Linked DNA regions of Saccharomyces cerevisiae S288C. Changing the gene in region 2 together with the main gene of any one other region gives a genetic interaction. Each region holds a gene or a part of one and is shown on either strand. Other genes may lie near its edges. The genes, in order: EMA35, MNR2, PCK1 and DDI3.

Region 1 (7,214 bases), on a different chromosome or scaffold from region 2:
GCAGTCATGGAATTTCCAGGAAACATTTTTAGGTTTTCATATGACAGCAGTTCCTGTCCGAGAGCTGTGCCTTTCTTGTCTCAGCTGACTAAGATGTCTCGGATCCGCCCGGCTGGCGCGCGGCTCCGTCTAGTGGGATAGGCTTTCAACACATAGGAAACCCTTCAGATGATGAGAACACATCGAATCCCAGAGAGTAATATCACCAAGAATAAAGCAACCATGATAGACAATATTACTAAGTGTTCCTCAACAGATATTGAGAAAAGTTCTTATAAAGCGGGCAGGCTTTTTTCTATTTTTTTCTTTTTCTTTATCTAGCTTAAGATCCTTCTAACCATATTCTATAAAATGGCAAGCTGAATACAGATTATCAACGACAATTACATATAACCTACAAACAGGCAAGTTGCAATTCCAGAAACCATGAAGGCTGTCGTCATTGAAGACGGTAAAGCGGTTGTCAAAGAGGGCGTTCCCATTCCTGAATTGGAAGAAGGATTCGTATTGATTAAGACACTCGCTGTTGCTGGTAACCCGACTGATTGGGCACACATTGACTACAAGGTCGGGCCTCAAGGATCTATTCTGGGATGTGACGCTGCCGGCCAAATTGTCAAATTGGGCCCAGCCGTCGATCCTAAAGACTTTTCTATTGGTGATTATATTTATGGGTTCATTCACGGATCTTCCGTAAGGTTTCCTTCCAATGGTGCTTTTGCTGAATATTCTGCTATTTCAACTGTGGTTGCCTACAAATCACCCAATGAACTCAAATTTTTGGGTGAAGATGTTCTACCTGCCGGCCCTGTCAGGTCTTTGGAAGGGGCAGCCACTATCCCAGTGTCACTGACCACAGCTGGCTTGGTGTTGACCTATAACTTGGGCTTGAACCTGAAGTGGGAGCCATCAACCCCACAAAGAAACGGCCCCATCTTATTATGGGGCGGTGCAACTGCAGTAGGTCAGTCGCTCATCCAATTAGCCAATAAATTGAATGGCTTCACCAAGATCATTGTTGTGGCTTCTCGGAAACACGAAAAACTGTTGAAAGAATATGGTGCTGATCAACTATTTGATTACCATGATATTGACGTGGTAGAACAAATTAAACACAAGTACAACAATATCTCGTATTTAGTCGACTGTGTCGCGAATCAAAATACGCTTCAACAAGTGTACAAATGTGCGGCCGATAAACAGGATGCTACCGTTGTCGAATTAACTAATTTGACAGAAGAAAACGTCAAAAAGGAGAATAGGAGGCAAAATGTCACTATTGACAGAACAAGACTGTATTCAATAGGCGGCCATGAAGTACCATTTGGTGGCATTACTTTCCCTGCTGACCCAGAAGCCAGGAGAGCTGCCACCGAATTCGTCAAGTTCATCAATCCAAAGATTAGTGATGGGCAAATTCACCATATTCCAGCAAGGGTCTATAAGAACGGGCTTTACGATGTTCCTCGTATCCTGGAAGACATTAAAATCGGTAAGAACTCTGGTGAAAAACTAGTTGCCGTATTAAACTAGATGACGAACAGATATTATTTTTCTTTTGTATACACAGTTATTACGTATGTTAGAGTGACTTGGTTTTTTTTTTTTTAATGAAATTGTTTGTTATTGATCACGCCTTGTAGGGGAAACAGATGAGAACAGTGAAAATCATAACTCATTATGTGATTTGTTGTGCGTCACCCTTCCATGATTATATATCCTTACTATCTACTATCCAACTACTACATATCTATTGAACTCATATGTACCAAGCACATAAAATTATGCACCTATTTCCATTGGCAAAGACTTGGCGAAATTTAATACACTGTAATAATATCCGGCGAAGCTCTTTAAGAATTCTTACCTATAATAGCGGCTCGCTGTCCGAACGATTGCGCCGCACTTTTCTGCCTCTTACATTCCCTTTTCCTAAGGCGATAAGCAGGCTGAATGGAAACTACGATATAACGCAGTAGAGGTCCCCCAAGAGCTGGAAAGAAAATATTGGTTTGATAGCCAGCACTATTCTATCCAGTGGGCTCTTGTACCATTTTCTGTGGTATGGCTTTGATTCAACTGCATACGTAGTTAACGCGATCAGCCGCACATGGGCATTATCATTTTCAGGGGTACTGGTAAACCCTATTGTTTAGAAAGAATACCTGGTAAGCGGGTCTGTCGAGTCTTTCCCACTAATTTTGAAGAAAAAATCTTTACCTAGTTTGAGAATAATCGTGGCGTTCGTAACATCACGAGGTGAGAGAGACCAGTTAGGTAAGGGTATGCCAATAAAAGGTTATTGATACTTCAACGAATCTTCATATTAAAAGTGCCTTCACCAGAATAAAATTCTAACGTCATCCTAAAAAGCATCAATTGGACATAGTGAGGGAAAGTTTTCACCATTTAAAATCTATTCTGCAGAATACCATTCTAGACTATGATCCCTTAAAGATTCCCATTCTTTAAATATACAAATCAGGTTCAACAGCGTATCTTTATGGTATTATCGTACTACTGGCGACATTAGCAAATCCAAGTATCCTAACTAGGTTTCTAGTCTTATCTCTTGGTTTTCTCCATTAGATGGTAAACACGTTACCTTGATGGCTGTACAGGAAGTGAACATGGTCAACTCAAAGTCACCGGACTCAAAATAATTGCAATTACCTAGACTGGATATTTTTAGAATATTATGAGAATATTTTTAGAATACTTGCAACCCAAAATATATTTAAATGCCGCCAATTTGCAACCAAAAGATTATCCGCTACCTTTTTTTTAGTCATTGAATTGTAGCATAAAGTTCCGAGCTTTGAAAAAAAACTTTGAACTAAGAAAAGGTAAGAGATCCTCAATTATGATATTACTTCATGCCATATATACTCTTTGGGTAATTATACTACTTCCGCTACTCAATGCAGAGAAATTTGTCCCAAAAGTAACGGAGGCTCCTATAGAAACATCATTTAATCTAGTGAGTTTTGATGATTCCAACACTTCTATCAGATTAGATGGTTGGGGGGTTGTATGGATAAGTTTCGACGCTGGAGAAAATTGGGAAACGGTCAAAGAAATTGAAGAGCGCATTTTCAGATTTACTGTTGATCCTTTCCATGGACAGGAAAGAGGTTTCGCTTTTATATGTGAATCACCCAAATTCTACATTACCGACGACCGTGGGGAGTCATGGAGGGCTTTAACTATACCCTCATCAGAAGAATATTTAGATGGCGACTGTTTTATAACTACTCATCCTAGAAACAAAGAACTTCTTATTGCGAATTGCTATAGCTATATGATAGACGCAGACGTTTTATATGACCCAAGTGAAATTTACTTGAGCAATGATGGGAATCCTTTTTTAAAATTAAACCTTCCTTGGAAAAGAAAAAAGACGACGATATAACAACTTAAAGCTGTCATTTCATTAAGTCTAGCAAGGATTCTGACTTTACTGGTAATGATACTTCGATACTCTGTTTGTTCTCTAACCGTGAATACGATGAAGAATATCGCTTAACTGCTACCTACACACAGTTGGCTTTCAGTAGTGATGGAGGCAAAACGTTTAAAGATTTTGATGAATTTAAAGATAAGATTGTTACTCAATACAAGATATTGAAGTCATATGTGGTCGTTTTAACGCAAGATGACGGGCATAACGAGATGTCATCTACGGACATCTGGATATCCAATGATGCATCTACTTTTCAAAAGGCACAGCTGCCTACTCAATTACGGCACGTCAAAGTGATTAAAATTCGTGAAGATTCTATCGGAAGGATCATCCTTCTTATATCGACAGAAATCACAAATGAGGAAAATGCTGATCCAGATCTCTCAGAGATTTTCATATCAGATTCGCAAGGGTTGAAATTCTCACCTGTTGAATGGACACCAAACCATCAGTTTGGAAATTTTAGGCTCACTTTTCCTGATTTCTTGAAAGGGACAATATTTGGATCGTTTCATCCTTCCATTGACTATTCTAATCACCAAGTAAACTATACTGAAAATATAGCCGGAGGAGAAACCAAAATATCCGTTGATAACGGCCTCACATGGTCAAATTTGAAAGTTGTTGATGAAGAAAATGCCGATTCGTTCGGCTGTGATATCACTAGGCCTGAGAGATGTTCACTTCAGGGTTATTTTTACAATCTAAAACTTTCAAATCCTTCTGCTGGGATCATATTAATGACAGGTTCTGTTGGCGATGACAATGAATTCGATCGGAAGGACCGAAAAACTTTCATTTCTAGAGACGGTGGTCTAACATGGAGGGTGGCCCATAATTCTTCTGGATTATATGCTACTGGTGATCTGGGAAATATTATTGTATATATCCCGTCTCCTTCATATAAAGATGGTGATGTACAATCCAAACTTTATTTTTCCTTGGACCAAGGTAGAACATGGAATCAATATGAGCTTGTTGACGCTTTATTTTATATCCATCCATTAGAGTTGATTAATACAACGCCAGATGGATCAGGCTCAAAATTTATTTTAAGCGGACATCTCATTACTACGGCTAGTCAAGAAGGAAACAACACCAACATCTCATATATTGCAAGAAGTGTCCTGTATGCGATCGATTTTTCTGCTGCATTTTGACTATAAAACGTGTGAAGAGGAAGATTTCGAAGACTGGAATTTGGCAGATGGGAAATGCCTTAATGGCGCCAAATACATGTATAAAAGGAGGAAACAGGACGCCCGTTGTTTGGTAAAAAGGACATTCAAAGATATGATTTTGCATGAAATACCTTGTGACAGTTGTACTGAATCCGACTACGAATGCTCTTCTGAATTTGTTAGAGATGCAAAGGGTGACTGTATACCAGATTATGATCAGATTGCCCTTTCCGATATATGTGACAAAGCTAATGGCGAAACTGTATCATTAGAGCCATTACAATTAATTAAAGGAGATAAATGCAAAAAGCCCATGGAAATTGAGGCCATGAACATTCCATGTGAAAAAATCCTGAGGGAGAGCTCGAATGGTAAGAAAATAGCAACCATTGAAAACAAGTTTGACTTTGAAATTTAATTTTATCAATATTTCGATACAGTTTTGGGTGAATCTTTTATCATGCTTAAGTCAATAGAAGATGCCTACATACCTCACGATATGATGAATAAACAGTAAAAATGTTCGACACTGACGACAAAAAATTGACACTATTCGGGACTGATGTCATATAGAAACATAAGGTCTTACTATTTCGTTAATTTATTATTGTGATATGTATTTACAGTGTAATATGAAGTTGTGTTTAAACTATATTTTAATTCCAGGGTTTATTTGTTTGGCTCTATGAGTAACATTTTCTCAACTCAAGACAGAGGATGCTTTTCTATGATGGCTAAATTGCCTGAAACCAGACAACTAGGCATGCCACCAGATTTTGGTGATGAAAAATTGTGAATCAACCTTAAATCCAGAACATAATAGTATACCTTACCAAAGATGGTGGCGGAACGTTTACATAAATGCTTGGTAATGCAGTTCATTCTGGGTTAGCGGGCTCATTTTTCAAAAATCCGTCAAATGGGGATATTTGCTGTATGCTAAGTAAAGGAAAAGTTTTCGCCATCAGACGACTTATATGAAAACGCCAACGAATTATCCAGTTTCACGAGTCAAGGCGGTAATTTTGAAATCGAACAAGAAGATGCTCACACGCCTGAACGAAACACATGTCACAGATAACCAAGACTGTCTCTAGCAACATTCCAGACGCATTGCGAGCTCGAAGTTCCGCTCAAAAGGTTGATTGGCAGCAGCACGCATCGAAGACAAGTGGGTAATCTTTTTTACGCATAATAAATGGCTGTGTCTATTTTTTATTAAGAGAAGTAAGCATAAGGATTTTCTCAATATTGTCCATTATCCGAGGCCTCCATTACCTTTGTATGAATATAATCGCCATGAATATAATCGCCATTGTAGTTCGCCAAGTGCCGCCTTTCTTTTCTTCTATCCTCTTATCTTCCGCTTATTGGCACAGGAAACGTAAAAATTAATAATCACCAGTTCCAGTCATTTTGAGTTATAATCGTTTACCCTCCCGACAAAGATAGTAGCTCGATTCAAGAACATGAATTTTACTAATATTCGTACTTTTTTAGTTTCTGCTACTATTAATCGGTTTTGAATCCTGTCTTCATTTTGTGAGGACAAAATTTAGTAGGTGTGTAAAGTGGTATTTAAGATTCGAGTCTGGGTGCACTAAACAATGATAGACTGATCAGTACATCTTCAATTTACTATATATAGATTTTTATTAGTATTTGTTTGCAACAATTCAACGGTTAGTGTATGTAGACTATTGAATATAACGAAGATAAACAAAAAGAAGGGGAGCGAAAAAGAATTGTCAACAAATGTTTATCGATATCTGCGATAAGGTTCTGCAAACAAATGCCGCTTACGAAAAGAATACAAAAATAAGAGAATACAAGGTTATCAGCCGTCGAAAAGCACATGCTATCGTGTCATCATTTCGTGAACTATACTTCTAATGGTGTCTGCACCACAAATACCATATACACATTAGAGCATGACGATGAGTACTTACTTTTCTTGACTGTACAGCCACAGATGTTGCAGTGCGTTTCAAAAGTTCCAGCCCCACGTTTTGCCAAGATAAATTAAAAAAAGAACGTGCATATGAATATGACAGTATTGAGCATAGTCTTTTTGACAGTATCCCCTAAATGCCAGAGTGTCCGCATGATTAATACTTTTCGCGGCGCACGTGCATGACGGTAAAGAAAGCAGAGAATCAAAAGAAGCAGCACGTAGTAATAGCGGCGTAGAATGTTGTACCCAACAGCAATGATGTTAGAATAATAGGGGTTATATGATTGGATCCTACGGTCTTCCGCGTTGCCGTTTGGTGCCACATTTATCTTCATATTCATGAATTTCCTTACTGGACCCCCACCTTAGCATGGATTGATTATATAGGCATATGGGCATTCCGTCCACTGTATCGTAGGATTATTTTCCAACATTAGTTAACTTAGTTCTCTGGTTAACCTAGTTTTTCAATCTGGCTATCTTAATTCTTTGATGAGGGACATCTGCTGGAAGACATCCAGAATGTGTCTGGATGAAGTAGGAAACTCGTGAATATATAAACCCCGATGAATGTAGTTGTAGCAGATGTTCGTTACAGTATTTATTATCTGTTTCT
Region 2 (9,439 bases):
ATACTCGAATGCTTGTACCACTCCATTTCCCCATTTATCACATTTAAAGTTACGAGTAAAAAAGTGACCGATATAGAATGTCTGATGAAAGAGCAAATGAAAGAAACATCAAGAAAGCATATTGAAATTAGCAAGTGAAAGCAAAAAAAGTAGATGAGTAAGCATTATAATGCGTCCAGTCTGACTTTTTTGTTGGAATAAAAATCAACTATCATCTACTAACTAGTATTTACGTTGCTAGTATATTATCATATACGGTGTTAGAAGCTGGCGCAAATGATGAGAAATAGTCATCTAAATTAGTGGAAGCTGAAACGCAAGGATTGATAATGTAATAGGATCAATGAATGTTAACATATAAAACGATGATAATAATATTTATAGAATTGTGTAGAATTACAGATTCCCTTTTATGGATTCCTAAATCCTTGAGGAGAACTTCTAGTATATCTACATACCTAATATTATAGCCTTAATCACAATGGAATCCCAACAATTACATCAGAATCCACTGAGTCTTCATTTTTTCCTATTTTTTGAATTAATTTTTGTTCGTATCCATTGGGCTGGCGAGCAAGTCCATCAAATAAAAAGGCGCGTAATTCGCTTCGTTTCGTGTCTTCGAAAATGAAGACCAGTTTTCCTCCTTAAAAGTACTTTAATTCGGAGAGCCGATTATATAAAGTGAAAGACTTAGTACTTCGTTAGCTCATATCGTTTTCTTATTTTGAAATAGGTTATCTATAGAATACTTTATCAAGTTATCAGGTTCTTTCCGGAAAAACATCTCATAAATCATCCCTGGAAAAATGTCTAGTCAAACAGAAAGAACTTTTATTGCGGTAAAACCAGATGGTGTCCAGAGGGGCTTAGTATCTCAAATTCTATCTCGTTTTGAAAAAAAAGGTTACAAACTAGTTGCTATTAAATTAGTTAAAGCGGATGATAAATTACTAGAGCAACATTACGCAGAGCATGTTGGTAAACCATTTTTCCCAAAGATGGTATCCTTTATGAAGTCTGGTCCCATTTTGGCCACGGTCTGGGAGGGAAAAGATGTGGTTAGACAAGGAAGAACTATTCTTGGTGCTACTAATCCTTTGGGCAGTGCACCAGGTACCATTAGAGGTGATTTCGGTATTGACCTAGGCAGAAACGTCTGTCACGGCAGTGATTCTGTTGATAGCGCTGAACGTGAAATCAATTTGTGGTTTAAGAAGGAAGAGTTAGTTGATTGGGAATCTAATCAAGCTAAGTGGATTTATGAATGAATAACTTATGGCATGGGAGGGTACATATGAGCGCCTTTTTTTTCTCGCTTTGGGCAGCTCATATCATGTTCCCTCACTAGCTAATAATATAATGAATTTTTTAGAAGGAGCACGATTATATAAAAAAAATACCACTTATGTTGCTACCCTTATATACGAATTTATAATACTTAATGACGCTTCAATGACGCCTGATGTCAAATGCTTTTGGCTCCCAGTGAAATTGCCACACTTCCTTCTTCTTTCCGAACTTTATAGTATCATCGAAAAATACAAGTTGGCAAAGGTCTATTACAATCGCGGAACGTACGATGTTCATACGGTTTCAGCGAATAGTCTTGTAATATCCGGAAGCATGCCTACCGGCATTATTATAGGTAGTTCATCGCCCTTGGACTATGTAGGGGTACAAGTAAATAGGCAACTTGAAATGGATCTCCCTATTGAATGAAACATTTAAGGGTGCCCAACCCTTAAGTTGATAGAGCTACTACCGTTCTTTTAGGTTTAACAGTTTCTCCAATAAATTTGGCAATATGCAGGGATCCCAAATTGAAATTTCTGGCGGAATGTATATATTAGACTTGCAGCTGAGTTTTATCGCGTACACTATTCTAGGGACTTTGGACCTAACTCTGACAACAAAAACTCAAGTAAAAAAAAGCTTACATTTTTAAATGATGAGATCTAATATTTTGAAATTATTACAACGGACAAGTAGGAGATATGTATCCTCAAAGGATTTTGAGCCTGTGATAGGGTCTAATCCTAAGAAACAAACATCTAGACTAATGGTCGGTTCTGTGGGTGTTATGATTCCAGTTCTACTTTATTTGTTTTATAAGAACGATAGCAAACATAGTGAAATTAAAAAGATATACCAAAATGAGAAAAAAATTTAAAAAGTTGTTATATAAGGGTTTTCGTATATAACACAGAATGGTAAACCGAGTCACGAAGCTCAATCTTTTTTTTTTATGTCTTTCTCTAACGTTTTTTCGTCTATATTCAAAAAAAATAAAGTTGGTAACATATAATGCATATATTCATTTGATCTAATCGCTTGCTTTTTATTTCAGTAGCATTTTCGTATTGCGTCGCGACCAGAGAAGTATGAGCACCAGAGGTAACACGTATATACATTTATACATAAATATATCTATTTAGTTTCCTTTCTTGGAAGCTTCAGCAGCTGCTACATTTCCAGGTTGATTCTTCTCATCAAAATATTTCTCCAGGTTTTTGACTTGCTTTTGTAGGCCCTCCAGAGAAATTTGCTTTTTCCTTAGTTCCTCTTGAAGTTTGGTGGAATCAGCTTCATTTGAGTCTTTCTTGCTGTTTGAGGAAGGTTTGTTCAATTTTTGCTTTTCTTGTTCGTTGATTAAGCCTTGGTATTTCACCAGTCTCTTGACAATAGACATGACAGTTGGGATACAGATAGAAAAGTACAATATGAACCCGGAAATATACATATTTCTTTGATTGTACGCTCTTGATGCTAGTGCCTGTATTGGAGTTACAGCAGATGACCCGATTGAGCCACTGTTGTCGTTGTGGTATAATGAAACACGAATTTGAGACCTTTTCCATGAATCAATAAACAACAGGCCAACAAGACAACCCGTTATAAAGATTATAGTTTTTATTTGCTGCTTCGCTGTCAATTGGTTATAGGTGCTAAAAATACCCCTACGGATCCGGAATGGCAAAGGCAAAACGAAGATGAAGAGCATTACCATCTCAACAGTGAGCAATAAAAATAATGTCGTAAAGTATAAACTCATCGCAATATTATTTATTCTTCTCGGTTTTCAGTACTTGCCACTTTGCGAAAGGATAGCAGAAAGGAGCGTTGCAATGAACGAATAGCTTTAAACCAGAAACTATACAAGGTCCCACTTGGCATATATTTCTATTTTTGCACTGCGCCAGAGGGTTTAGTAGCGCCCCCTTTATGTTAACGTATCCTGTGATATAGCATGCAGCTGCGGGTTACATGTAAATTGTTCAGGGCATAAGCAGTACGTATCGAGGAGGTAAAAGACGTTGCAAGTAGGTAGATAGTACAATATAGATAAGCCCAACAGTTTGCGTACGCCTTAAAAGTAGTGGTGTTCTGCGTTTATGTTCTCTCCCTTCTTTTCTATCTAGGTTTTTATGGCGCACTTAAAATATTCTGCTGCTTCAACGGGCGGCGATCTACGGAGAAATTTTTGGCATAAAGTCAAACTTAGAAAGAGCACATAAGCCATAACTTCTTTTTGATATGTGAAACCTAGCCCAGGTTGTCGTTAGTAGTACCTGGCCCTTTAAATATATTTTTGTACTATCGTATACTTGTATAACTATTCATCATTTTCTGGTTTGGTAGTCCGCATTTTTTCATTTGATGACTAAGTTGTACGTATTGCTACACTGAGTTTATCCCCTTACTTCGACAGTAAATTGAGAGAATAAAAGTGAGAAGTGTAGAGAAGAAAAAGATTAAAAATGAGCACTGATAACTCACAAAAGGATGAAGGTGTTCCTTTGCTTTCCCCTTACTCTAGTAGCCCTCAACTAAGGAAAAAGAAGCGCAATCAAAAAAGAAGAAAGGACAAGTTTGTTGGTCACTTGAAGTCAGACTCACGTAGGCCAACGCAACTGCTGCATGATAATCTGCAACACAATCACGGCCAGATTACTGATTTCGACCAGATCGATTCCTGGGGCATGCTGCATGAATCTGATTCTACAAGTAATGATATAATAAAAAGTGAGGATCCATCGCTCAAGGGCGCGTTCATTGATCATAGACCTTCAATGAGCCAACCTAGGGAGGGGCCTCAAAGTGTATCAAGCACAGTTCAACCACAGCCAATAATGAAGTTTTCAACACCAAGTTACAAGAAACCCGCAGGGTTAAGACCCTCTGATCAGAATAGATCATTAGTATCGGACTTATCCCCTTCAGAGCTTGAATCATGGCTGAAGAGAAGGAAATCTGTTCATAAGAGTTTTGTTGACGAAAACTCCCCCACCGATAGGAGACAATCGAACGCGAATAATGATGTCGTGATTGATGTTGATGCGTTAATGAACCATGTTAACAACAATGCAAGTACTGGGGTTAATGATAACAGCAAGAGAAGAAAGAAAAAGAGGGGTTCTGATGATAGTAGCAACAAAAATTCCAAATCCACATCCAGTGATTCAAACGATGAAGAGGATGAGTATAACTCAAGGCCATCTTCTAGTCTTTCTTCAAATAACTCTTCTTTGGATGACGTTTGTTTAGTGCTTGATGATGAGGGTAGCGAAGTGCCAAAAGCTTGGCCTGATTGTACTGTTTTGGAAGAATTTTCCAAGGAAGAAACAGAGAGACTAAGAAGTCAAGCTATTCAAGATGCTGAAGCTTTCCACTTCCAATACGATGAAGATGAGGAAGATGGAACATCAAATGAAGATGGAATTCTTTTTTCAAAGCCAATCGTAACTAATATTGATGTCCCTGAATTGGGAAACAGAAGGGTAAACGAAACAGAGAATTTGAAGAACGGCCGTTTAAGGCCAAAAAGAATTGCGCCATGGCATTTGATTCAACGTCCAATGGTCCTTGGGTCCAATTCAACCAAGGACTCAAAATCAAGAATTCAAAGCGGATTACAAGATAACTTACTAGTCGGCAGAAATATTCAATATCCTCCGCATATTATTTCTAATAACCCAGAACATTTCAGGTTCACTTATTTTAGGGTGGATTTGGACTCTACTGTTCATTCTCCGACAATATCTGGTTTACTGCAACCTGGTCAAAAATTTCAAGATTTATTTGTCGCTTCTATATACTCCCAAGATAATAGCGCTGGTCATATCAAGACACATCCAAATTCTCCAACACCTGGTATAAAAGCAGAAACTGTATCTCAACTCCAGGGATTGACAGCTAAAAACCCTTCCACTTTATCGTCTATGTCTGTGGCAAATATAGAGGATGTTCCTCCATTCTGGTTGGATGTCAGCAATCCTACTGAAGAGGAGATGAAAATATTAAGTAAAGCTTTCGGAATTCACCCTTTAACTACAGAAGATATTTTTTTGGGAGAAGTTCGTGAGAAAGTGGAACTATTTAGAGATTATTACCTGATTTGTTTTAGAAGTTTCGATATTGTAGCAGAAAAGCATGTTCGTCGGAGGAGAAAAGAAAAGCAAGAATCTGCTACCTTGGATCATGAAAGTATTTCACGTCGTAAATCACAAGCCTATGGTGCTACTATGTCAAATGAATCAAATGCAAATAACAATAACAGTACAAGCAATGCAAGTAGGAGCAAATGGCTTCCATCGATTTTACGTGCACGCCGTCGGTCATCTGCAAATAGAACAACCAATACATCATCATCAAGCTATAAACGCCGTGTCAAAAGCGAAAAGAAAAAGATGGAAGAGAACGAAAAATTCAAAAGAAAATCAGGAGACAGGCACAAACCACGTGAGGGAGAATTAGAGCCATTGAATGTTTACATTATTGTTTTCAGAACTGGTGTATTGACGTTTCATTTTGCTCCCACACCACATCCTATTAATGTTCGAAGAAGAGCAAGACTACTAAAGGATTACCTTAATGTTACCTCTGATTGGATTGCGTATGCCTTAATCGATGACATTACAGACGCATTTGCCCCTATGATAGAACTTATCGAAGATGAAGTTTATGAGATTGAGGACGCCATTTTGAAGATGCATCAGTCAGATGATTCTAGTGATAGCGATTCTAGCGATAGTGATTCCGATTCGGGCGCTAGCGATGAGGATGCATTTCCGTTCGATGTCTATTCTAAAAAGACGTCCTACTCTAGTGCAAAATCTAGTGTGAGTTCAAGAAGTATGAGCACTTCTGAAGCGTCATTCAATGCAAATTTGATAGGTTGGAAGAGAAAAGGAGATATGTTGAGGCGGATTGGTGAATGCCGTAAAAGAGTGATGAGTATACTAAGATTGCTAGGATCCAAGGCTGATGTGATAAAAGGATTTGCCAAAAGGTATAATGAGCAATGGGAAGCTTCGCCACAATCTGAAATCGCAATGTATTTGGGTGATATTCAAGATCATATTGTAACCATGGTCTCATCGCTAAACCATTATGAAAAACTGTTAAGTAGATCGCATTCAAATTATCTGGCACAAATCAACATTGATATGACGAAGGTTAATAATGACATGAACGACGTTTTGGGAAAAATTACCATACTGGGTACTATTGTTCTGCCAATGAATGTGATTACGGGTCTGTGGGGTATGAATGTTATCGTGCCCGGACAATACAGGGATTCGTTGACATGGTTTATAGGCATTGTGCTTTTTATGTGTATGCTAGCATGTTCTGCATATATGTATACTAAGAGAAGATTCGGGTTTTAATTTAAGTGTTTTTTCGCGCATTAGCGCTTGCTTTTCCTTCGATTTTAATTATCAGCCTAAATTATTGTTGTCTTTCCCGAAGGATAGAATTGTAAATTATCAGCGCCGTATCGTATACTTGTGGTGATAAATATCTTTAATCTATTTATGTTTTTTTTTTTTTTTTTTTTCGTGTCTGGTTTCTACATGTTTGTGAACGTTCTGCATATCTTTATGTACGTACACAGTATGTTAGTATGCACTTATACTATACAAAGAATAAGGGAGGTGAGGTTAATCAATAAGGTTAACGTAAAACATTTATTATTTTCATCACCAAACTGTTGGAAGTTTTGAATTGGTTAATTATCAAGGATTTCATTGTTAGCCAAATTTTCCTTGGCGAGATCTTGTTTCTCTTTCTGGAGTTGCTGTTTTTGTTCTTTTTTGTCCTTGTTTATTTGTTTTTGCTTTTCTGAATCAATTTGTGGTTTCAAATCGTTCTCCAAATTCTTTACTTCTTGTTGCTTTGCGACTTCATTATTGAACTTTTCTTTAGGTACTTTAGCTTGTTGTGGTTGCTTATTGTTAGTCGCATCAGCTGCACCGCCGGCTGCAATATTGGTATGATCGCTTGCACTTGCAGAAACATCAGAAGAATGGCTTTCTAGCTTGATCTCAGTTTCTTTATTCAGATCAGAATAGGCAACTTTTATAACGAAATAAACGCCACATAACAGTATAATGTATACTATAATCTTTTTCATAGGGGTAGTCAGATAACCGCCCCTTCTTCTGGAATTATATTTGCTTCCTGTTTTATAACGAGGTAAAAGATCTTTTTTCCTTCTGATATCGCCCTGCATATTTTCTATAATTATGAATCACTTTAGTTTGATTTATATTTGCTCAGAATACCCTAGCTTTATCTATATAGTACTACTACTTTGGAGGGGAGGAACGTATGTTGGAAGGCAATAGCACTCTGGTAAAGTGCTAACTCTTAATGTTAATGACGAAATCACTTTTTTTGCCTTTCTGAAAGATTGGAAGACTGTCACTGAGAAATTCGCTATTCTTTTCTTTTTCTTCGTGTTTTTTTTTGTTAGAATACTGCACAGCTTGCTATCCCGCTGCACAGCTTGCTATCCCGCTGCACAACATGAAATTGCTCACGTCGTGCCAAATTACATATAGGTGCTTACCCTGTTTATATTTTTTGCCTTCATAGCGGAGTTTTTAAGGGTAGCCCTTATGTTTTTAGCGTTCATTTGAACGAATGGCTAACGCTAAACGGAGAAGAGAGGAAAACAAGGCCGCTGGCGTTATTGCGCGTAAAAACAGGAGATAAGCACTGTTTAACATACATTTCATTGAAAGCTTAAAGCCGCAAAAGATGAAGGGTTTTCAAAATTTTCATCTCTTGCAGTATAAGGATGCAGTGAATCTATCTACAGACAGTTGATAAAAACGTCTACCTTGCCTAGTGTACCCAGCTGCTGTCAACTTCTTTCCTTAGCGCGTAAAGAGCTATGTTTTCGATAAAAGATGCAACATAAATGCTACGATGTAAGGCACCCAGGACCTCTGAAGGCAAAGAAGTTGTGAAATTTGAAAAATAATCGCTCAAAAAGGAATAATTGTCAAGCGTAACGATTTTTTTGATTTTCCGAAATCAGGGGAGGGGAAAAGAAAAGGGGAAGGGGTCTCCTCACAGGTATTGTGAGCTCCAAGCAATCATTTTGCCAGCACTAGGAAATAATAAAATGAAAGAAAAAAACATACATAGAAAGTGCCGCTCCGGGGCATTTTGAGCGCGGCAAAAAAAGCCCGAAGATCCGTTCCTCGAAGGAACGGCAACCGCACACCAAGAAAAAGGGAAAAAGGTGGGGTTGGCTGTAAAGTACGAGCGCGGGGACGGATCCGTAACAATTTCTATGTGGGGCCAGCAGCCGGCTGCTGGTGGGTACTGTTGTACGAAGCGGTTGGTAGCGATGACAGTGGCCAGGGCTGCTAGGCATGGTGCCGTGAAAACCCAGCGCAAATGTCAGGCTGCAGGAACCGGCTTTCTCCCACGAGGTTTCACTGCTGGCGGCGTACTGGTCATTTTTAGAACCTGAAAACCCGAGCTAGAACTAGGACTCTTGAGCAATAAGGTTTGCGCATTGCTATTCTCCGGATAAACCAAACCCACCCTTTTAAGAGCGTTTAACAAAGGTCTCTTATCTATCAAAAGTATTATGGCTATTTCTGGGATTCCGCTTGCGGGCCTTTCTACCCTCTTGATGCTACACATGTTTCCCTTAGATGCATGAGCATACCTGTAGGTACTTAAATTTTATTTTTATGCATCTTATTTCTGTCTAAATTTGTATATAACAAGCAACTGCAGTTCTGTGATGTGTTTTTCGCAACTGGTCAACAGGCTTAAGAATTTTTCCGTCTCTTTCCGTTTTATTTCCAGAGAATTAACATTTATAGAGAAAAGAATTAAAACGTGAAATTTCCTTTTTGAATATTTAACGCCTTTATCAGTTCGGCTTTTTTTTCTTTTCTTCTTATTAAAAACAATATAATGCTAGTCTTCGGACCTAATAGTAGTTTCGTTCGTCACGCAAACAAGAAACAAGAAGATTCGTCTATAATGAACGAGCCAAACGGATTGATGGACCCGGTATTGAGCACAACCAACGTTTCTGCTACTTCTTCTAATGACAATTCTGCGAACAATAGCATATCTTCGCCGGAATATACCTTTGGTCAATTCTCAATGGATTCTCCGCATAGAA
Region 3 (7,915 bases), 310 kb from region 2:
TCTTTGTCAATACATAACAAGTTTGATGGCTCACTACATGAAATACCGAATGAGCTAACAAAACCAACAAATGATAATTCGAAAGAGGACATAGTCAGGGAAAGTAATCAGATAGCATCAAGTAATAAATTGGAAGCTGGTTCTGAAGTGGCGTACTACACAAGCAAAGAAGCATTATCAAAACCCTCGTATTTAAAACTCAGTACTGGAAAGGATGCATTATTCAAAACGCTGTCTAGTCCAGCAACTGCTCCCCCCGTGCACTCCTTGGAGGTTTCGTCACAAATCAGAGATTCTAGCCAAGATTCTTCATCCTCTTTATCCAAGGTGGAAAAGCCAAAGGAGGAAGAAGGAAAGATCGAGGCCATAGAATCTTCGGCCCCGAAAGCTTACAATCTACCAGTAATTGAAGATTCTAATGATCTGTTATCAGAGTTATCTATTACTGGCCTGCAAAATCCATGCAATACATGCTATATTAACAGTATAATTCAATGTCTGTTTGGCACTACCTTATTTCGGGATTTGTTTTTAACCAAGAAATATAGGCTATTCCTCAATACTAACAAATATCCGAAAGAAGTCCAACTTTCCCGCTCGATTTACGTTTTGTTCAAAAAAATGTATTTGAATGGAGGAAGAGCGATTATACCAAATAGATTCTTAAAAATGTGCAAGAAGTTAAGGCCAGATTTGAACATCCCAGATGATCAACAGGATACACAGGAATTTCTACTAATAGTTTTAGCACGAATACATGAAGAGCTCTCGAACGAAAATGTTGTCAAGTATTATCCAGATCTAGTGTCATATGATGCGAATGCTTTACAAGTTAACCCATCCAAATACGAGAAATGGTACGAGAGAAATGTTATTACTGATGGTTTATCTCCAATTGATCACATATATCGAGGGCAGTTGGAGAACATTTTGAAATGTCAGCGCTGTGGTAATTCTTCTTATAGCTATTCTACCTTCTATGTTCTGTCACTTGCGATTCCAAAACTATCATTGTATAGCTTTACAAGTAAGTCGAGAAAAATTAAATTAGAGGATTGCATAAACTTATTTACAGGCGATGAAGAACTGTCAGGCGACAATGCTTGGGATTGTCCTAATTGTAGAATTACTGATTCTAAATCCAAAAAAGAAGAAATTACTAGCCAGAAGAAAAAATCAACCATATTCGGTTTTCATTCCAGATCAAGGTCAAAATCACCCCACCATCATCACCATCATCACCATAGCAGCGATGATTCAACAAAAAATGCAAAGAAGCGAAATTCTAAAAAGTTAACCACGATTAAGAGTTTAGACTTTATAGTTTTACCTCCGATACTTGTCATTCATTTATCAAGGTTCTATTATGATTTAACAAAAAAAAACAGCACTGTAATAACCTACCCTTTGATATTGAACATTATTTTAAAGAACGGTAAAGTGATTCGATACAAGTTATATGGAACGGTGAATCATTCCGGTAACCTTATCAATGGACACTATACTTCTGTTGTGAACAAAGAAAAGAGCCATGAAATTGGACTGAATAGACAAGTTTGGGTTACATTTGATGACGATTATATACAGCAACATCGCAAGGATCGCAACAACTTTGAAGCCGGCAAAACAGAAATGTCTAGCGATGAGGTATACGTCTTATTCTACGAAAGAATGGATGAAGAGAACTATGAAGAAGAATTCTGTTAATTGCATCGGATTTTTGAATTTTCCTTATGTATATACATAAATATGTTTGAAAGATTAATTAGAAAAACATGTGCTTGTTGATCCAGTTTCAGTTATTAAAAAAAAGCTGAAATGGGAAGAGAAAAAATTGACAAAATAATATATTACGAACATTTATGATGTCGAAATAATTCTAATTCTTTTTTTTTTTTTTGGATTGAACATATCGAACGAACATGTTTCGTTTACTCGAATTGAGGACCAGCGGCTAATACATCTGGTGTGGCTCTGTCTTGATAAATCTTGAAATTTTGAACAAACAAGTTGGCCAAGTTGGTAACTGCACCTCTGTATTTGGATTCACCTTGAGACCAGTTTTTAGCAGGATTCAAAAGCTCAGCTGGAACACCGTTAACCTTGGTAGGTACTTGAAGATTGAAAATCGGTAAAGTTTCGTACGTTTCATTGGCTAACGAACCATCATGAATAGAATCCAGAATGGCCCTTGTGTACTTCAATGGGCAACGTTTACCACCAGATACGTAGGAAGAACCAGTCCAGCCGGTGTTGATTAAGTACGCATTAGCTTTATGTTGAGACATCTTTGTAGCTAACATGGTTGCGTATCTAATAGGGTGCAAGGCTAGGAAGGGTTGTCCGAAACAAGATGAAAATGTTGGTTCAGGTTCAGTGACACCTTGCTCAGTACCAGCCATTTTAGAAGTGTAACCAGAGATGAAATGGTACATGACTTGTTCAGGAGTCAATTTAGATACTGGTGGTAAAACACCCGAAGCATCACAAGTTAGCAGGATAATGTTCTTTGGATGAGAGTCCGCCAAACATGGAATCTTGGCACTTGGAATGTAGTCAATTGGGTAGGCACATCTAGTATTTTCAGTAATAGAAGAGTCGTCATAGTCGACTACATGCGACTTCTCGTCATAGATAACGTTTTCTAATACAGAACCAAACTTGATAGCGTCGAAAATTTCAGGCTCCTTTTCGGCAGATAAATTAATACACTTGGCGTAACAACCACCTTCGATATTGAAGACACCATGGTCGGACCAACAATGTTCATCATCGCCGATCAACAATCTATGTGGGTCTGCGGATAAAGTGGTTTTCCCGGTACCACTTAGGCCAAAGAATAAAGTAACGTCACCGTTTTGAATACCCTGGTTGGCGGAAGAGTGCAAAGTTAAAACGTTATGGTGCACAGGCATCAAGTAAAACATAACTGTGAAAATACCTTTTTTCATTTCACCGGCGTATTCGGTACCTAAAATGATCATTTCCATTGCTTTGAAGTTAATTTCTATAGTACTCTTTGAAGACATATCCTGGGTGTGTAAATTGGCTGGGAACTGACCAGCGTTCCAGACAGTAAAATCAGGTTCTCCAAAATGGGCTAATTCTTCTTCTGTAGGTCTAATAAGCATATTTGTCATGAATAAAGCGTGGTAAGCCCTGGCACAAACAACGCGGACTTTGATTCTGTATTTTGGATCCCATCCTGCAAATGCATCGACAATATAAATGTGGTCTCTTGTTCTCAAGTAATCTGCAGCTCTTTCACGGTTGATAGACCATGTTCTTTCAGAACATGGTTTATTGACCGGACCCCACCAAATTTCGTCTTTCGAGGTAGGTTCTTCAACAATACGTTTGTCCTTTGGAGATCTTCCGGTTTTAACACCGGAATAAGCGATCAATGCACCGCTTGATGAAATGACAGTTTTATTTTCTTTTAGACCATCTTCATACAAAACGGCAGCTGGAGCATTGCGTCTGATGGTGGTGACTTCGTCACTAAGAGCCAATTCTTGTCTGATTTTTTGTTCAACTTCGGAAGTAGATCCTACTGTAGCATTCATTTTAGAAGGGGACATGTTGTTATTTTATTATGGAATAATTAGTTGCGTGAGTTTGGTTTTTTTTTTTTATTTTTGAGTTAAACAAATATAATTATTGTTTAAGCTGAAATAAAGATATATATGTATATCTGGGAAAGGCTGTTGGTTATCTGTCTTACTTCTGTATATTTAAGAAGTAAGTAGAAATACTGATTACACATGGAAGAGAAGTTACACACATTACAAAGACTTCTCTGCCCTTATATACCTTTTTTTTGTGGTCTTCTATACTCTGCCCAATGTTGCTATCCCCAGCCAAGCCTTACTTAATACACAAACGTACCATTGTCCAACCAGAAGCGTCTAAGCTTTACAATCCTGTTTGGGCCCTTTATCCGCCTATCCATAATGTTAAGCAGCCTAAAACTTGCTAGTCTAGCCGGCATCTTTCCCTTGTATAACTTAAAATACCCGGAGCTTCAGTGATATGTAGAACACAGCCGCGCCGGATGAAAGGAAGCTCGGTTTTTTCCTATTGTGAGTCAAAAAAAGAAAAGAGATGTATCCAAATTAGGAAATCCAGATCTCCATTCACCCGTCAGCGTCCCGATATTCTCCGGTGGATCGTGTGGGATATTCCGATTTTTTCCGACAAGGCCCTGGGTGGGGGCTCTGCCCAAGTGCTCTGGTCAGAATTGTATGGAAGTCAGTTGGTTATATGCATATAAAAGTATATATTAAAATTAAAGTGTTATTTATGGCGGTGAGTAGAATTGGTGTTGTTGTAAATGTACGTACAACGAACGATCAGTCTGTACACAGATGGCGCTGTTCGCCAAGTTTTGTGCACAAAGAAAACACAAATCGTGTGCTTAGCGTTTTTATTTCTTTTTCTTCTGCTTTTTTCTTCATGGCGTCGTCGTCAGATATCAGAACTACGTAGTTAAAGCGGCGAGGGGAAAGACGCGGTTCGCTGGCACTCTCTAGTTTTTCTTGCGCCTTCATTACGGATTCGATGACAAACTCGTCGACATGTGTCCTCCATGTTATTTGTTCTTCAAATTCTAAGTTCTCTTCGATGTGTGTCGCTACATTACCTGTGAATCTTAGGGGTAATACTTTATTCTCATAGTAAAGCTGCCTTATAGTTATTATACCTCTTGTGGCAGCCTCCATGACGTTTTCGTCCTTTGACTTTCGTAAAAATCTCAGCTCTTGGAATGTGGTTAAACAAATGGCAAATCTTAGCAGTCTGTTTTGAGCTAGCTTGAATATGCGTGCGGAATGTCTTAGCCAAGAAGTTGCATCAAAGACAAAGTATGTAGTTTTAAAATCTATTTCTGGATAATCAGATTTTATACATTCCAGAAATAGACCTTCATTTTCCTTTTCGCTGTTATAATTGATGTTGTCCTCTATGTTAGTGTTGTTGCTGTTCGGGACATACCATGTAGTGTAAAGCGAGGCGCTTAAAAATTCTCCATTTTTATCGAAGCACGTATAATCGGCACGAAGTTTCTTGTAGCCAACATAGTGGAAGATATTATCGCCCTCGTTGACACTTAGTTCCGGCACAGCGTGCAGATCAGTGTTGTTTTCACTTCTTGCCTCAGATATGTCAATAATACTTTCCAGGGCACCTAATACTGGTATATTGTTGTGTATATTGCACAAGGGTTCGAGTTTGAAGACTAAACTTCCCAATATATTAGTATTTTGAAATGATGAACGATATATCAACGGATCGTTTCTGATTATTACGCCTATTGGAAAACTTCTTGACAGCTCTCTAAAAAGAAATATGGTTCTGCATGCCCTTTTCCAGAATTTTTCACCATTTTCGTCCTTTTCATCAAATATAATTCCATCTGTCGGCGAATCCAATGCCATATAATCTTTTATACCGATTTCTTGAAAATTATCTTCACTACTAATCGAATGCGTATTCTTTTCGCAAATTGTGTCAAACCACAATGTTCCCCAACAGCCCAAAATTTCTGGTAATTCTTCGCCTTCATTGAATAATTCTAAAAGTTCAGAAAGGCTTAATTTATCGTAGTCATCGCATAAATCTCCAATAATAGAGTTCGATGTTTGGTTATCCAATAAATACACAATCAAAACATTCATAAAGGTAACCATTGTATCCCATGGAAAAGCTCTCTTAACAATAATCATCCAGAATTCTTTACTAACTGGATCACTCAATTGGCTGCTTTTCAAACAAATTGAGATGATAAAGTATATCCATGGTAAGATATGGGGTAATGCGATACCTAAAGGCCCATGTAGAAACTTCCGAAGCACTATTATACCGCATTTTAATGAGGTCATATTTAGAAACTTTAATGTTTCCAACCATGCTTCGTTTGTTAGCATTGAAGGCAGTATCGGACGCCTTAAGGTATCGATGTCATTGAAGAATTCTGCTAAGAGATCGTGATCAGATATGGAAGTGGTAGAACTCATTATTTCATCGTCATCTTCGTTGTCATTTCGGCTATTGCCCGTTGAACTTTCCGTCACGGAGGAGTCATTATTTGAAGATTTTTTACGTTCCTTCTTGTCTTTCCTCTCCTTCAAATACTTCGGCAATTCAAATAAAATTGCAAATGGGTTTTTTGGCTCTCCAAATCCAACAATTTGTAAAATATGCGATTGTGCAAAAGAGGGGCCATGCCTGAAGAAATACTTGAAAAAATCAGGATTCTGAACAAACATATCTTCTGCGTTAAAAATGTTACAACCGTTTGCATCTATACCGAACTTTTCAATGAAATAGCTCAACACGACATTTTGTAAATCTGGACTTTCTAAAAAACTGGGTAATAGCATGGCTTCACTATGTTTCAAATACTCAATTAATAAAGAGTTTCTAAGATTGCCATTATTTCTTTCTACAAAGGCTCTTTGATAAATGTTATCAATAACCAATTGCATATATTGCGGAGACGGAGTGAATGTTTCCTGACAAAAGACGCTTTTCCCCAAATTTACAAAAGCTTCAAGAGTGTTTTGCTGTACGGTAGACATATGATAATATAGCTTTCCATGATTGTATATGTATTTCATCGCCTCAGTATACCAATGCTCAGCACTCAGTTTCCAATCGATAAAACTCGAGGGATATAGTGCTATAGCCATTCTTGATAAGTCTCCTAGTCTTTGTAACCAAGTGATAGAATATTTGGACGGTATGTCAGAAATCATAGTTGATAATGAAACAAAGACGTGAGTGATAAATTGGCAGCAAACTTCAGGATCCATGAAGTTAGAAAAGTTCTTTAGAACGTCTAGAAATGTTATCGTGCCGTAAACCCATAGCCTTCTTTCGATCCTATATATTTCGACAATTTCTTGGCCGATGACCAAATCGTGAGGCGGTTGGGATGGTAGTAAAGCTGTAGTGATAAAAGTGACATAATTGTTAACAAGATCTGTATTGATTTTATAGATAGTCCACAAGCTTTTTAGTTCGGTGGTTTGAGAGTTTGTTAGTTGTGAGCACCGCTCCTGCAATTCAATTTCTTGCTTAACTATCACTTTGTACAATTCTTGTAATTTTTGTATTAGAGCAATGCCCGATCTCTTATTACTTGCTGGCTTGCAGGAATCATTTTCTTCCCTTTCATTACTATCATCACTATTATTGTTATTATCACGGCTGTTGCTGTTATTGTTGTTGTTGTTGTCGTCGTTGTTATTATTGTTATTGTCATTGTTATTGCTACTGTGATTGTTATTATTGTTGTTGTTGCCACTGTTATTGAAATCCTGATCTCGGGCACTGTTATCCTTGTCGTTGATTTCTTGACTATTATTAGATTTACGCTGGAAACCGCCTACAATTTCACTCTTGGACTGTTCATCTGACCCTGCATCCACGAAAGCTAGCGAATTCTGTGAAACGTTCAGTGGTTTTATCATATTTTCCGGGCTCCATTTCTCATGTGCAATGCTTCCGCCGTTTTCACTAAATGATTTCGAAATCAATGCAGAGGATTGAGTAATTCCAACTGAGTTTTCCCTTTTCAGGGCCCTTTTCGAACTACTCACATATCTGGGAGAAGGATTTTTCTCTGATTCCTTGACTGTTGTTCTTTCTGGGTAAGTATGGTCATTATTTTTTCCTTCGATATCTGAAAATCTAGGTCTACTTATTCGCCTCTTACTGCTATTTATATCATCGTAAACCGAGTTTGAATTTTGCCTTTTAGAAGACGGATTTAACACTTGAAAATCTGATAAACTCAAATTTGCTGTGGTATTCCGTACCAACCTAGGGAAGGATGGAGTGGCAGATGGCCGCTGCTGCTGTGATGCAGACAGAAACATCGAACGAGTATTTTCATTTTCAGAAAGCCTTAATG
Region 4 (6,938 bases), on a different chromosome or scaffold from region 2:
CACACCCTAATACTACCTCAACCCTACCCTAATCCAACCCTTCCATCCTGTCTCTCAACTTACCCTCCATTACCCTGCCTCCCCACTCGTTACCCTGCCTCCCCACCACCAACCCACAAATCCACCATAACAGTTACCCTCCAATTACCCATATCCAACCTCACTGCCACTTACCCTGCCATTACCCTACCATCCACCATGTCCTACTCACTGTACTGTTGTTCTACCCTCCATATTGAAACGTTAACAAATGATCGTAAACAATGCACACATACTTACCCTGCCAATACCCTACCATGCCCCATCTGTCATACTCACCATCACTTGTATACTGATACGGCATACGCACACGGATGCTACAATAGTATATACTATCTCAACTTACCCTACTTTCACATTCCACTCCATGGCCCATCTCTCACTTCATGAGTACAAATGCACCCACATCATTATGCACGGCACTTGCCTCAGCGGTCTATACCCTGTGCCATTTACGCATAACTCCCACTATTATCCACATTTTAATATTTATATCTTATTCCGCGGCCCCAAATATTGTATAAATGCCCTTAATACATACGTTATACCTCTTTTTCACCGTATACTAACCACTCAATTTATATACACTTATGCCAATATTACAAAAAAATCACCACTAAAATCACCTAAACATAAAAATATTCTATCCTTCAACAATAATACATAAACACACTCAATTGCGTATCAATACCACCATGAGGTCATTAACTTAAATGTTCCTTAATACCGTCATACCACTATGCTCTATTCCATATATTGTAATATAACTGTACTCTATAGTCATACAGACGCTTTTACTTCACCCTATCTTCTCATACTATTGTCATAGAATCGCACACTGACGCATGATTAAAACGAATAATTTTTACTATAAGGCCTCCCATCCGTGCTCTATCCTTTTGTTTGAAACATTTATATACAGAATCTCAAAGCAAGCGGGAGAAGTAGTAATTACCCAGAGGTCATGCATGATCTTAGCACCACCGTACCTCTAAGTTTTGCTTTGAGCCTTTTTACAGTGACATCAAACATAAGGAGAAAAAATGGTATTGAAAGGTTATCAATATAGGGAAATAAATTGGTTCTATGAATCTTCATGTAAGATACTCGTAGGACAGACTCTTTCCTGTGTAAATATTTGTGACAGCTACGTCTATTTTCTATTAGATATTTACACATTTTTGTCACAGGCAATCTACGCTTAAAATATACGTTTCATTTTGGGTAACAACTGCTGTGCGAACAGTGACATTGCTGGTCGCACCTTAAATGTAAACCAAAGTTACGGCACACCGTGATGTACCCTCATACAAAGCTTTGTAAAAGTATTATTACGATTATCGAGTAACTTAGATAGAAAACCGGAAATGAAATGGACTCCCTTTTCGAATAGTAGAGTTTCTGTGCCTAAAATAGCCCAACATTGTTGCCCTTTTTCTATCACGAGGTTACTGAGCCATTGCATGAACGCGCGCGCCTCGGCGGCTTTTTTTTCTACTCTATAAAAGCGAAAAGCCAGAAGTTACTATCTCGAATAAAAAACCCCTCGAACTGCCATCTCATTACCGAAAATGAAAGAAAATGAACTTAAAAATGAGAAAAGTGTAGATGTATTATCTTTCAAACAGCTCGAATCTCAAAAGATTGTTCTACCTCAAGATCTTTTCAGAAGCAGCTTTACCTGGTTTTGTTATGAAATTTACAAGTCCTTAGCGTTTCGCATCTGGATGCTATTATGGCTACCACTTAGCGTCTGGTGGAAGCTTTCCAACAATTGGATTTACCCGCTTATGGTTTCACTTCTTGTCCTGTTTTGGGGACCAGTATTTGTTCTTGTTATTTTTAGACTTTCTCGTAAACGTTCCTTATCGAAACAACTCACTCAGTTTTGCAAAGAGATTACTAAAAGCACACCAAGTTCGGATCCTCATGATTGGGAAGTTGTTGCAGCAAATCTAAATTCGTACTTATATGAAAATAAGGCTTGGAATATTAGGTACTTTTTCTTCAATGCCATGGGCTGCCAAGAAGCGTTCAGAACAACCCTTCTCGAACCCTTCTCTTTGAAAAAAGACGAAGCTGCCAAGGTTAAGTCATTTAAGGATTCCGTCCCTTACATTGAAGAAGCATTGGGAGTTTATTTTAGAGAAGTTGAAAAACAATGGAAGTTGTTTAATTCTGAGAAATCATGGAGCCCTGTTGGCCTGGAAGATGCTAAACTTCCCAAGGAAGCTTACCGATTTAAGCTTACTTGGTTTTTAAAGAGGATTTCCAATATTTTTATGTTGATACCATTCCTTAATTTTTTGTGCTGCATATATGTGTCACGGGGAATGTGCCTTCTATTACGCACCTTGTATCTCGGGTGGATTCTTTTCATGTTGGTACAAGGTTTCCAAAATATAAGGGTTTTGATTATGAGCATGGAACACAAGATGCAGTTCTTGTCGACTATTATAAATGAGCAAGAAAGTGGTGCGAATGGATGGGACGAAATTGCAAGGAAAATGAATAGGTACTTGTTTGAGAAAAAAGTCTGGAAGAATGAAGAGTTTTTCTTTGACGGGATTGACTGTGAATGGTTTTTTAGCCACTTCTTCTACCGCGTTCTATCTGCGAAGAAATCTATGCGGGCTCTATCATTGAATGTGGAACTATGGCCATATATTAAAGAAGCGCAATTATCCTGCAGTGAGGAGTCCTTAGCGTAAAGATAAATACAACTTTTTCAATTTATATATTTTGTAGTTTGTCAGCTGCGAATAACCAAAACGAGACTACTTTTTACGATTACAACCATTCTCTTTTTCCCTATTTCTCACTGGTTGACAGAAATCAGTGTGCTATCATCCTACCATATGCGCAAAACTTATTGTCTTTCTCCTCCTAGAGATGCTGTATTCCATGCATATTCTGAACGATGGGTTGGTGTTTTTATCAAGCAAGGTTAATCACATGGCGTGGCTTGCTCCACGCATCAGTAGAAAACGCATACCGCAGCGGAATCCTTAAATAATAAGTGATTTTACTGTTCATCAACTACAATCGGACTCTTTCACAATTACCCTTCTTGTTTTCCACATTTACTGTTAAATGAAGGGATGTACAGAAGGCTTAGGAAAACCTGTGCTGAATACTGGATGGACACTGCATTCCCACAGTGAAGCTTTTATAGATACACTGCCAGTTATTTTCGAACTTTCATCAAGTTGCTGAGTTTTAGTATCCCTTTGCCTTAGCTATATGTTTGAATGAGCAAAATATTTGCAATGTCTCTAGCTTTCTTGAAATATTGGTTTATATTGAGGGCTTGGTAAGATTTCAAATTTCATTTTGAAGTGCTCAGGAGAAAAATCATGCTCTTTTGATAATTTGGTGACTAAACATACATAAAACAGTTTAATTTTGGGTGGTAATGGCTGTGTGACTAGCTATAGAAAGAAAAAAATTAAAAAAAAAAAAAAAAATCAAGTAGTTCCTGCACTGCGACGTCCATTATAGCATTATAAATTGGTCCCTGATTTACGCATGCGATAAACTATTTTTAGCGCAGCCGCATATTATCCGAGAATAACTTCCGACATAAGAAAATTCGCAGAAAATAGATAAAAAAACTGCTCTTGGCATTCTTCACTTCCTCTATTACACACTGTGTCATACCACAATCATCTCACAGTATGTATTTGTATGTTTATACATGCTATAACGTAAAACAATGTAGAATATATATCTAAATACCTCACGGTTTTAGTTTAGTGCAGCCCACATACTACTTTTTTCCTTTTGTTTTTTTTTTTTATATTTCAAAGGTTAAACTCGCTTAGACTATGTCTATAATATAAAAAAAAAATAGCTCTATTCCGTTTCTTTTATTCTATTTGATATTTCCATCACACTTTCATCTTAATCACGGATGTATACTGATAATAGGGTTGACTGCGCCTGTACGGATTACAGTGCCCTCTTCAATTGGAAAATCCAAGCTTTCAAGATGGGTAACTGTTATTCAAAGGATCCTCTAAGATAAAACACAGATCGACAGATCCGAGAGTTGGCTTCTGTGCCTTGGGCTCAAATTCCTTTCCCACCTCATGCAAATTGATTTTTCTGACTCCAAAAAAAGACAGAGCCCTGCGATAGTTCCCGAATGTTGTAACATCAAAGCCAAGCACTCCTTTATAGAAGTCGCATGAACGTTGAATACTAGCAGCTGGTGAAACTACAGGGTCTAAACTAACTAGTATCCATATCTTTTTGAGAGCATTGAAAGTATACGGAGTACAAGCTGGGTTAGAAGGAATTTTTATCTTAACAGCAATGAAAATCAACTTTCTAGACTGAATCCCTCAAGAAAATTGCAAAAGACTAACTGATACTGGTTTAAAAGAGAAAGATGTCAAATATGCGGAGTTATACCATCAAACAACTTTGGACGGCCCCGAAACAAATGTCCGCAAAAAAGATCTTATTAAAGTGCATGGACACTATCATTTCTATAATACAAAATACTCCACCGCACAATAGTTTGTCGGGAAGTCATCAATCAATCTTGTACGAGCTTTACAAATAACTTTTTAGGATCGGTCCCCTCATAAAATTATATATAAATGGGTTAGTTTCCTTCTTCTTCTGTTAACATGAAGTTGCTTCGTACTGTTTTTTGCCTTGCTTCTCTTCAAAAGAATCAATCATGTCACAGTACGGATTTGTAAGAGTTCCTAGAGAGGTAGAAAAGGCCATTCCAGTGGTGAATGCACCTAGACCACGGGCCGTTGTTCCGCCTCCAAACAGTGAAACTGCTAGGCTTGTTCGGGAATATGCCGCTAAAGAATTGACTGCCCCCGTTCTAAACCACTCTTTGCGTGTTTTTCAATATAGTGTAGCTATCATAAGAGACCAATTTCCAGCATGGGACTTGGATCAGGAAGTTTTGTACGTCACCTGCTTACTTCATGATATTGCAACAACAGATAAGAATATGAGAGCCACGAAGATGTCATTTGAGTATTATGGTGGCATACTTTCAAGGGAGCTTGTATTTAATGCGACAGGTGGAAATCAGGACTATGCAGATGCAGTAACTGAGGCCATCATTCGTCACCAGGATTTGACTGGGACTGGCTACATTACCACCTTGGGGCTCATTCTGCAGATTGCTACTACGCTTGACAATGTCGGATCCAATACCGATCTGATTCATATCGATACAGTTAGTGCCATTAACGAGCAATTTCCAAGACTGCACTGGTTATCATGTTTTGCTACGGTGGTGGACACTGAAAACTCGAGAAAACCGTGGGGCCACACCAGTTCTTTGGGTGATGATTTTTCAAAGAAAGTCATATGCAATACATTTGGGTATAACTAAATAGGTAAGTTTCAATGAGGCGAGTTCAGAATGAACAGTGATGATCTCCTTTCTCCATAACTATACTATACGTCCCTTTTATTTACTGTAGTTTTTAAGAACAAATTCTCTGATGAACCAGTCGTGAAACCGTATATCGTTTTCTGCCAATTCCGGATGAAATGATGTCGCAAGAATATTGTTTTTTTGCTTAGCGGCAACAATTAGTTCTTGACCACCATTATCCTTCCCATCTAATTTGTACAGGACCTGCACATGTTCAGGATCCAGCACCTCTTCTATTACTGGGGCTCTTATAAAAGTAGCAGGAAAATCATTGCAGTGAGGAATAAAGTTTGAAAAGTCGCAAATCCGGGTAGAAGACTGAGCTTGTCTCCCAAATGCATTTCTTTTTACTTTAACCTTTAGTAAATTCAGCGTCTTGACCAGTTTTGCTTCGTTAGATAATTGTTGTGAAATATAAATCAAACCTGCACAAGTACCCCAGGTTACCTTGCTTGGGTTGTGTACGAATGCGTAGAGATCGTCGTAAAATCCTGTTCTTTCTGCAATAAGGGACATTGCAGTCGACTCTCCCCCAGGTATGATCAATGCATCACATTGAGCTAGTTGATTTTTATCCTTCACTGTCATCACAGATAGTTTTTTTTCATAGAAATCCCTGTTTTCGACGATGCATTTTTCTACGTGTCGCACATGTTCAATGAACGCACCCTGTAATGCCAAGACTCCGATAACGACGGTCATTTTTGAGATATTACTCTTGTCTTGGCCCCAGCAACCAGGGTCATGGTAAGTGTGCTTGCTACTCAAACAGAAAAAAATGGGCTTTTATCAATGAATAACTTTTTTTTTTTTTTGTAGCTGAATGATGAAAGATGGCTCAACTATTCTTACAGTTTCCAATAAAGTGACGCGCCGCCCAATGGCATAACAGTAGTAGGCACATTATATCGTTTGAATGGCAAAATGTTGTGGCAAGGAAAGAGCAGAATTATTTGTTCATGTGGAATGAATTTCACACACACACACACACATATATAAAACTAGTATGTTTCTCCACCATAGTCACATTATTATTCGACCCTTCTGGGAAAGGAACTATAATAGAAAAATAAGTATATCGTAAAAAAGACAAAAATGTCAGAATTCAAGGTTAAAACTGGGCTTGCCCAAATGTTAAAGGGCGGTGTGATTATGGACGTCGTCACACCTGAACAGGCTATTATCGCAGAAAGAGCGGGCGCTTGTGCTGTAATGGCATTGGAACGCATTCCAGCTGACATGCGCAAGTCTGGCCAAGTATGCCGTATGTCAGATCCTCGCATGATCAAAGAAATTATGGAAGCTGTTTCAATTCCGGTGATGGCAAAGGTCCGTATTGGACACTTCGTGGAGGCACAGATCCTGGAAGAGCTGCAAGTAGACTACATTGACGAAAGTGAGGTTTTGACTCCAGCTGATTGGACACATCACATTGAGAAGCATAACTTCAAGGTGCCATTTGTTTGCGGTGCCAAGGATCTAGGTG

Evidence for each region.
Region 1: mutations in MNR2 (region 2) and EMA35 together harm fitness more than expected from each alone (negative genetic interaction), as found in Saccharomyces cerevisiae (one large-scale study listed by BioGRID).
Region 3: mutations in MNR2 (region 2) and PCK1 together harm fitness more than expected from each alone (negative genetic interaction), as found in Saccharomyces cerevisiae (one large-scale study listed by BioGRID).
Region 4: mutations in MNR2 (region 2) and DDI3 together harm fitness more than expected from each alone (negative genetic interaction), as found in Saccharomyces cerevisiae (one large-scale study listed by BioGRID).

Annotation. Positions count from the first base shown.
Region 1 is NC_001135.5:298,680-305,893, reverse strand, and holds EMA35 (Ema35p), read left to right. Parts: upstream 1-3,672; coding exon 3,673-4,623; downstream 4,624-7,214. Other genes in the region: YCR102C (uncharacterized protein), read left to right, coding at 427-1,533; YCR101C (uncharacterized protein), read left to right, coding at 2,864-3,412; YCR099C (uncharacterized protein), read left to right, coding at 4,595-5,062.
Region 2 is NC_001143.9:314,003-323,441, forward strand, and holds MNR2 (putative Mg(2+) transporter MNR2), read left to right. Parts: upstream 1-3,761; coding exon 3,762-6,671; downstream 6,672-9,439. Other genes in the region: YNK1 (nucleoside diphosphate kinase), read left to right, coding at 810-1,271; DPC7 (Dpc7p), read left to right, coding at 1,952-2,173; YET1 (Yet1p), read right to left, coding at 2,435-3,055; YKL063C (uncharacterized protein), read right to left, coding at 7,013-7,516; stress-responsive transcriptional activator MSN4, read left to right, coding at 9,226-9,439.
Region 3 is NC_001143.9:626,818-634,732, reverse strand, and holds PCK1 (phosphoenolpyruvate carboxykinase PCK1), read right to left. Parts: upstream 3,582-7,915; coding exon 1,932-3,581; downstream 1-1,931. Other genes in the region: ubiquitin-specific protease UBP11, read left to right, coding at 1-1,707; ESL2 (Esl2p), read right to left, coding at 4,353-7,915.
Region 4 is NC_001138.5:4,816-11,753, forward strand, and holds DDI3 (cyanamide hydratase), read left to right. Parts: upstream 1-4,729; coding exon 4,730-5,407; downstream 5,408-6,938. Other genes in the region: COS4 (Cos4p), read left to right, coding at 1,611-2,750; SNO3 (putative pyridoxal 5'-phosphate synthase), read right to left, coding at 5,486-6,154; pyridoxine biosynthesis protein SNZ3, read left to right, coding at 6,548-6,938. UniProt on the Saccharomyces cerevisiae protein: Cyanamide hydratase involved in the detoxification and/or utilization of cyanamide, a toxic nitrile compound distributed widely in the environment.